2 linked regions of the Tribolium castaneum genome follow. Each later gene encodes a partner of the first gene's protein in a complex. Links are inferred from orthologs where the notes say so. Each region holds a gene or a part of one and is shown on either strand. Other genes may lie near its edges.

Region 1 (3,680 bases):
CTTTTGTTTCCAATAATTGGAATTAAAAACGTCATTTTCTAACTCAAATTTTAAAGGATCGTAAAATTTGCCCGGCGCATCCACCATTTTTGCTCCGAGGAAAATTTTATATTACGAAGGAAAGACAGGGAACGACTTTTGTTTCCAATAATTGGAATTAAAAACGTTATTTTCTAACTCAAATTTTAAAGGATCGTAAAATTTGCCCGGCGCATCCACCATTTTTGCTCCGAGGAAAATTTTATATTACGAAGGAAAGACAGGGAACGACTTTTGTTTCCAATAATTGGAATTAAAAACGTCATTTTCTAACTCAAATTTTAAAGGATCGTAAAATTTGCCCGGCGCATCCACCATTTTTGCTCCGAGGAAAATTTTATATTACGAAGGAAAGACAGGGAACGACTTTTGTTTCCAATAATTGGAATTAAAAACGTCATTTTCTAACTCAAATTTTAAAGGATCGTAAAATTTGCCCGGCGCATCCACCATTTTTGCTCCGAGGAAAATTTTATATTACGAAGGAAAGACAGGGAACGACTTTTGTTTCCAATAATTGGAATTAAAAACGTCATTTTCTAACTCGTAAAACAATTTTCCAGCAGGAATTTTTCCCAAGCAAAATTTCTCAAAGGATCAAAATCTGCTATTTTTAAAAGGCATTGGAAAATATTTTAATTTAAGACGAATCTCTACGAATTCGTACATTCGAATGGGCCAATAAAAAATTCAGAATAACTAAAAAATTGCGAAAAAGTCTAATAAATAATAATTAAATCAATAACTTTGAGAATTCGTTCCTTGTCTTTCCCTTGTACTCTTCAACTGGTAGAAAAAACAAATTGCAAGCTTTTCGCTCCTTTTTTCAATATTAACATTTAAATTTATTTTTGGAATAGGTCCTGGTGCCCAAACTGCGCGACCCCGAGCCAAACCCCGGCGTCGTCCTTTCCGTCCTGCTCACAATTGGCGATTTGGCCGAGGTGAGCAGCGGAGGCACCGAACTGCAAGAATGGATGCAAGAACTGATGGGTATTTTACTCGAAATGTTGGGCGACGCTTCCGCCCCCGAAAAACGGGGCGCCGCCTTATGCACCTTGGGCCAGTTGGTTGGAGTGACCGGTCACGTAATCCAACCCTACACCGAATATCCAATACTGCTCGACGTCCTCCTCAATTTCCTCAAAACCGAACAACAGTCCTACATTCGGCGAGAAACAATCCGCGTTTTGGGGCTGTTGGGGGCTTTGGATCCGTACAAACATAAAATAAATCGGGGGGAGATTGATTATTATCCCGAAGCGCCCGTTTTGATACCGATGACGGATAAAGGGGAGGATTTGAACGCGGATTTGACGTCGAGCGAAATGCTGGTTAATATGAGTTCGAGCACTTTGGAGGAGTACTATTTGGCGATAGCTATAGCCACTTTGATGCGGATTATTAAGGATCCGACGCTGGCACAACACCATACAATGGTGGTGCAAGCAGTTACTTTCATTTTTAAAAGTTTGGGGATTAAGTGTGTGCCGTATATATCGCAAGTTTTGCCCAGTCTTTTGCACGTAGTACGGACAGGTGAGTTGTGACCTTATTTAAGTTGTGCCAACTAAAATATTGTTTCAGCCGACGTTAACTTTAAGGAATTCCTCTTCCAACAGTTGGCACAACTAATCTACATCGTCAAGCAACACATTCGTAACTACTTGGACGACATTTGCCTACTAATCAAAGAATTTTGGACCCCGAACAGTACGATTCAAGGGACTTTGATCCTTTTAGTTGAACACATCGCAGTGGCGTTGGGGGCGCAATTTAAGGTTTATTTACCGAAAATGTTGCCCCATATCTTACGCGTGTTGAACCACGACACGTCCAAGGAACGACTCTACACTATCAAATTATTGGAAGCGTTACACAATTTCGGTAACAATTTGGACGAATATATGCACTTGATTTTGCCCCCCATTGTCCGGTTATTCGACGCTCAGGAGTGTCCAATAGTCGTGTCGAAAAAAGCCCTCGAGACTATCGACCAACTGGCCGAAATTATTGACTTTTCGGACTTTATCTCACGCATTGTGCACCCCTTGGTTCGAACGATTGACAACTGTCCCGAATTGAGACCCACAGCCATGGAAACTTTATGTTCACTCATGCAACAATTGGGGCGAAAATTCTCAATTTTCGTACCTCTCGTACAGAAAGTGATGACCAAACATAAGATACAACACAGTAAATTCGATACTTTAGTTTCGAAAATCCAATACGAGACAACACTGGCCGAAGACGTTGATTTCCCAATGCCGAGATCCAAAACAACCGGGAAAAATCGAGACCCAGCGATGCCTGCCGATAGTGGAATGATTCAAAGACTCAAAGTTTCGGAATCCAACCTACAACAGGCCTGGACCCCTGTCCGAAGAGTCTCGAAAGACGATTGGTTGGAATGGCTAAGACGCCTCAGTATCGAACTATTAAAACAGTCACCAATTCCAGCATTACGTTCGTGCCTTACTTTGGCACAGACGTATTCGCAACTGCCACGTGATTTATTCAACGCAGCGTTCGTAAGTTGTTGGTCCGAATTGAGCGAAAACATGCAGAATGAACTGATCAGTTGTCTCGAGCAAGCTTTGACTGTGCCGGACGTTCCGGAAATAACTCAAACTATTTTGAATTTGGCCGAATTTATGGAACATTGCGACAAGGGGCCTTTGCCCCTCGATAGCCACATTCTGGGGCACCATGCGATGCATTGCCGGGCGTACGCCAAAGCCTTGCATTATAAGGAAGAGGAGTTTCAAAGGGGGGCGAGCAGCCAGGTTGTCGAAGCACTCATTTCGATCAATAATAAGTTGCAACAAAAGGAGGCGGCTGAAGGGTTGTTACAATACGTCATGCAGAGGGAAATGCAAGTGCAGGTCAGGTGGTACGAGAAGTTGCACAATTGGGAGAAGGCCCTGAGGTTGTATACTGAGAAACTGGAAGGGGACGAGGCGGACCAAGAGGCTTGTTTGGGCAAAATGAGGTTCGATTCAATTTTGTCTTTTCCCAAAAAAATCCTAGTTATGTTTTATAAACTTCTACATTGATTTTTCAGATGTCTCGAAGCGTTGGGCGAATGGGGCGAACTGCACCAAGTCGTCGAGAAAAGTTTCAGTTTACTAAATGACGACAGCAAACAAAAGGCGAGTCGGCTAGCGGCTGCGGCCTCCTTCGGTTTGCACGATTACAGGTCAATGGAAACTTACGTTAATGTAATTCCAAGGGATACGCAAGAGGGTGCGTTCTACCGTGCAATTTTGGCAATACATAAAGAGGATTACGAAGTGGTTTGTACCGTAAAAATCAGACAGATCGGTTTGGTTTATTAACCGGTTCCAGGCCCAAAGATTCATCGATTCAGCTCGCGATTTACTCGATAATGAATTAACTGCGATGGCTGGTGAGTCCTACCAAAGGGCCTACGGGGCCATGGTCATGGTACAAATGTTATCCGAGTTGGAAGAAGTAATGCAGTATCGGTTAGTGCCAGAACGGAGGCCCACTTTAAAAGCCATGTGGTGGCAAAGGCTCCAATCGGGCCAAAAACTAGTCGAAGATTGGCAAAGAATCATCCAAGTCCATTCCTTGGTCTTGACCCCACAAGAAGACAAACGAACGTGGGTGAAATACGC
Region 2 (3,922 bases), on another chromosome or scaffold:
GCCATGACTACGGATATCTAAAGGTTAGGATAAATAAAGCGTTCCCGTCCTCTCTACAAATTTCTTCCTCACATTTTTCTTGTATCTTCAACTGTATTCAAACCGCAAATTTAAAATTTTAATTTTTTTTCTTATGTTTCTTATAAAAATTTTAATAGTTAGTTTTTCTGTCTGTTAAGAGTGCAAAGCTTAACGTTCCTGATGTTTTCCAAGTAATTAGTGAATTGGTTGGATTTAAATTAATTTAAAACGATTTGGTACTGAGACGATATAACGCTCGAAACGCCCTCATTTTTACAATGTTGTACTATTTTTTCGGGTCCAGAAAATCTCGTTTCGTCTCCTAGCTTATAGTTCACCGTAGCCATGACGACTAAACCGACTTGATTGAATTTTGCCCTATATTTATTTGCCTAGTCTGTAAAAAGTACGATTTCATTACTTCATCATTATATGAGAATTGTTTATAATTCAAAAAATTCATAATTAGGCACAGGTGGAACACCTGTCTGGACACCTGTTGAATTTTGTTCCAAACCTACCAAGCCTAATTTTGGGGTTGTTTGTTGTATGGAACCAACAAAATTTATGAAAAAAATGTGTGATTTATTTATTTGTCAATAAACTGCATACAGAAAAATTAGGTAATGATCAATCACAGTTGACTTTGAGTTGTCATGGCAAGCTGGGTCATAAAACTCTCCCCATGTCCTTGCCATAATTTCTCTCAAAAATAAACTTTTCGTCCGAGTTAATCATTTTTCTGAGAAACGGAGGCCTAAATCGGTGTGACTCACCTCATCTTCTCACATTGCAGAAACAGTTATTGTTCCAAAACCTTTCTAATTTTTGTATCAAGGAAATTTAAATAACAAAAGATACAAATCAACTACTTTTATAAAAAGCCAAAACGTGTACGAAACCGGAAGTAGGACTTACCCAAGAAAACAGAAATTGGTCCCAACCTCCAAGAACTCAAGAAACCCATCTTTGAGACAACTGGATTGCGGTTTTTTCGTTACATTCATTAAAATCATATGCACCATGAAGCAACAACGGGGAGGTGTGTTTATGTTGAAAAAAACATAATTTTATTATTTAAAACCAGTAAATAAACACAAAATAAACGACAGGTTCACAAGACAACAACACCCAGCACCCACACAACACTTTTTCTAGTGACAATTTTAGTGATTTTGTTGTGTGTAGACAGTGCTCCCAATATGAACCAAATTTCAAAAATTTAGCAATTGGGGCCAATGATATCGAAAAGTGTTTGATTTTTTGATAAAACGACACGTTTTAAAATATTAAAATATGCTCAAAAAAAGCGTTGTCGCCTATTATCTAACAATAATGAGCGTTATGTCAAGTTCTTACATAACCTAACTTGTCAATGTTTACATCAGACACGATGGCCCTTTACGACAACAAATACTGGTTATTATCACACATACGCAACTCTTTCATTTCTACAGATGATACAGGTTTGGCTAGGTTTCAAAATCACACTCGATTAACAAAGTTTTAGGAATGTGCGAGTTAATAATGACAGGGGAGGAAGGTGTCAGGAAACACCTGAAGCAAAGCCTTGATTCGTACCCTGATGACGAAGACAGTGAAGATGAAGATGATTTGTCTCACGAATCTTACGACCTACAACTTGACACCGATTTCCCGTTACGATACAGATCGAATACTGCCGTAAGATTAGAAAAATTAGAACAGGTTAAAAAGAGAACTGGCAGAATCAAACATATTAAATGGGAAACGAACAAGAACGAGTTGAGTGAGGAACAAATTGATCAGTTATTCGTAAAAAAGGAACCCAAAGTAATAGAACCGAAGCAATCTTTGTTTTCTAAAACCTTCAAGGAGCATAAGATGATGCCCATTAACCCTTATATGGATTATGCCAAGTTTGATGGCAGCGGACAAGTCAATCTTCAAGTGAAGAAGTATAGAATTTTCCTAACAATGCTACCAGAGCACCAGAGGAATTACCCCTTGGCTGTTTGTTGCACCTCTTCTGCTAAAATTCAAGAGTTGATTGGACTTATATTACTCAAATGCAGGTTTGTTAACTTGATCCTGAAGTTAGGTTGGCAATATTCTAAGTTACTGATGACATAGTTGCACGCTATTGGCTAAGCGTTAAAATGTTGCCAACTTGATTTCAAAGTCACAGGCCACTTTGACCAGGAAATGAAATAATTGAAAAACAAAATTTTTAAGTACAATGTATGAAGACTATCCTTGGAAGCCCGTAAACAATTACGGTTTGTACATAACTGAAGAAGACGGAGAAGTGGATAGGGACTTCCCCAACTTGGACCCGAGGGAAAATATTGCCAAATTTGGGTTTGCTTGTTTAGGGCTTGTGGAACATTCAGATCCCTCAAAGTGTGTCAGTTTTGGGAACTCTGAAACTGTTACAATCAGAAAATTCGATTACAATGACAAAAAAGGAAAAGGTTCGCTTTTGCCACATTTTGGTTTAAAATTTAAATTTTTTCTTTAGATTCGTCTAAACAAGACCAGGAAAAACAAATCACCACCGATTTACACTTAATGGACGTTCATAAAAAAGCAATGGAAGCCCCACTGTACAAATCGTTCAAAGTCTACATGATTAATAAAATGCGGGCCAAAGTTGAAATACATTTAGGAATAAGTGGCGAAAAAATCGAAATTGACCCAGTGCAAAAAAACTCGAAATTTGTTCTAGTTAAACAAAAACCCATAAACCACGATATGGACATGATCGCGTGGTGCGAACCCATTGAAACTACCAAAAGCAACAAAATGACTTTCAAAATCATTTACAGCCATTCGTTCGCAAACGCTGAAAATGGTATTTTTTGTAATTATTTAATTTTCTTGATTATTTAATTGTTTTTCTAGTTTCAAGTCCAACTTTACAATCTTCAGCTAGCTTCAAAAGTTACGAATTTGAGGCAGACCAATCAATTGCCGAAGAAATCGTAAATAAAATAAACCTGATTTTGGATTTGAGGTCTAGTGACACACGGAAGGAGTATTTGGCAGCGCAAGAACGGAAATATTATAAGAAAAAAGCGTTGATTTAAGTAACTTGTATACTAAAATATAATAATAAATTCATAAATTATTTTTTTGCGTTATGATTTGGGAACGTACCCTCGTTACATAACCTCAACCGTCACCTGTCAGCTGTGAGTGTCATTACCCTCTTGAGAAAAAAACAGAAAAAGGAAAATCATGTTTGGCTTTTTTTGACGCTTATCATATATGAGATAAGCACAAGGGGGCTATAAAATGGTAAACTGACTCCACTTTGTGTTATTTCGAACAAAACGGGCCTAAAAATGGTGATAATATAATTTAAAGCGCTATGGATATATTTTTGTTCATGTTCCTAGTTTTTATATCTTTTTTAATTGGTATTATAGTGACTCTCGTGGTGCAATATTATATTTTGTATTCTTATTTTAAAACAAGTCCAGTGGTCACACCAAATGAGAAAAAGTGTTCTACTGATTACGTTTTACCAGAGGTATGTATTAAATATTTATGTTTTTGTGTGTATCGAAGCGCTTTTAGTCTTTGAAAAAACAATTGGATAGTGAAGAATTGAACGATGCGACGAGTTTATCGGTTAGCCTGGTTTTACAGTTTTTGTTTCACGAATTGAGGCATTCTGAGGCTATTAAACGATGGCTTTATAAGAAGCTGAGTCTTGAGTTTGAGGAACTACTAACTAAAACTACCATAGGGAAATTTTTCGAAGTCATTAATGTGAGGGTTTGATTTTTTTCTACGGATAGGCTAGGGCATGAAACGACGTACAAATAATGTATTTTAACTGCCTAAGATTTTAAAAAAATGCATTTTTTCCAAGTAATTAGTGAATTGGAAGCGCCCTCATTTTTATTCTACCGTA

Evidence for each region.
Region 2: mTor (region 1) and Sin1 share a complex: the UniProt entries of both Homo sapiens proteins name them as parts of the mechanistic target of rapamycin complex. The link is inferred for Tribolium castaneum from reciprocal best matches to the Homo sapiens genes MTOR and MAPKAP1.

What each region holds. Positions count from the first base shown.
Region 1 is NC_087399.1:3,307,013-3,310,692, forward strand, and holds part of mTor (serine/threonine-protein kinase mTOR), read left to right. Parts: intron 1-899; coding exon 900-1,578; intron 1,579-1,626; coding exon 1,627-3,031; intron 3,032-3,103; coding exon 3,104-3,335; intron 3,336-3,387; coding exon 3,388-3,680. UniProt on the Homo sapiens protein: Serine/threonine protein kinase which is a central regulator of cellular metabolism, growth and survival in response to hormones, growth factors, nutrients, energy and stress signals.
Region 2 is NC_087397.1:9,927,436-9,931,357, reverse strand, and holds Sin1 (target of rapamycin complex 2 subunit MAPKAP1), read left to right. Parts: upstream 1-1,326; 5' UTR 1,327-1,396; coding exon 1,397-1,487; intron 1,488-1,531; coding exon 1,532-2,075; intron 2,076-2,235; coding exon 2,236-2,474; intron 2,475-2,521; coding exon 2,522-2,854; intron 2,855-2,904; coding exon 2,905-3,089; 3' UTR 3,090-3,132; downstream 3,133-3,922. Other genes in the region: crb (protein crumbs), read right to left, coding at 940-988; Pdzd8 (PDZ domain-containing protein 8), read left to right, coding at 3,374-3,535, 3,583-3,777. UniProt on the Homo sapiens protein: Component of the mechanistic target of rapamycin complex 2 (mTORC2), which transduces signals from growth factors to pathways involved in proliferation, cytoskeletal organization, lipogenesis and anabolic output.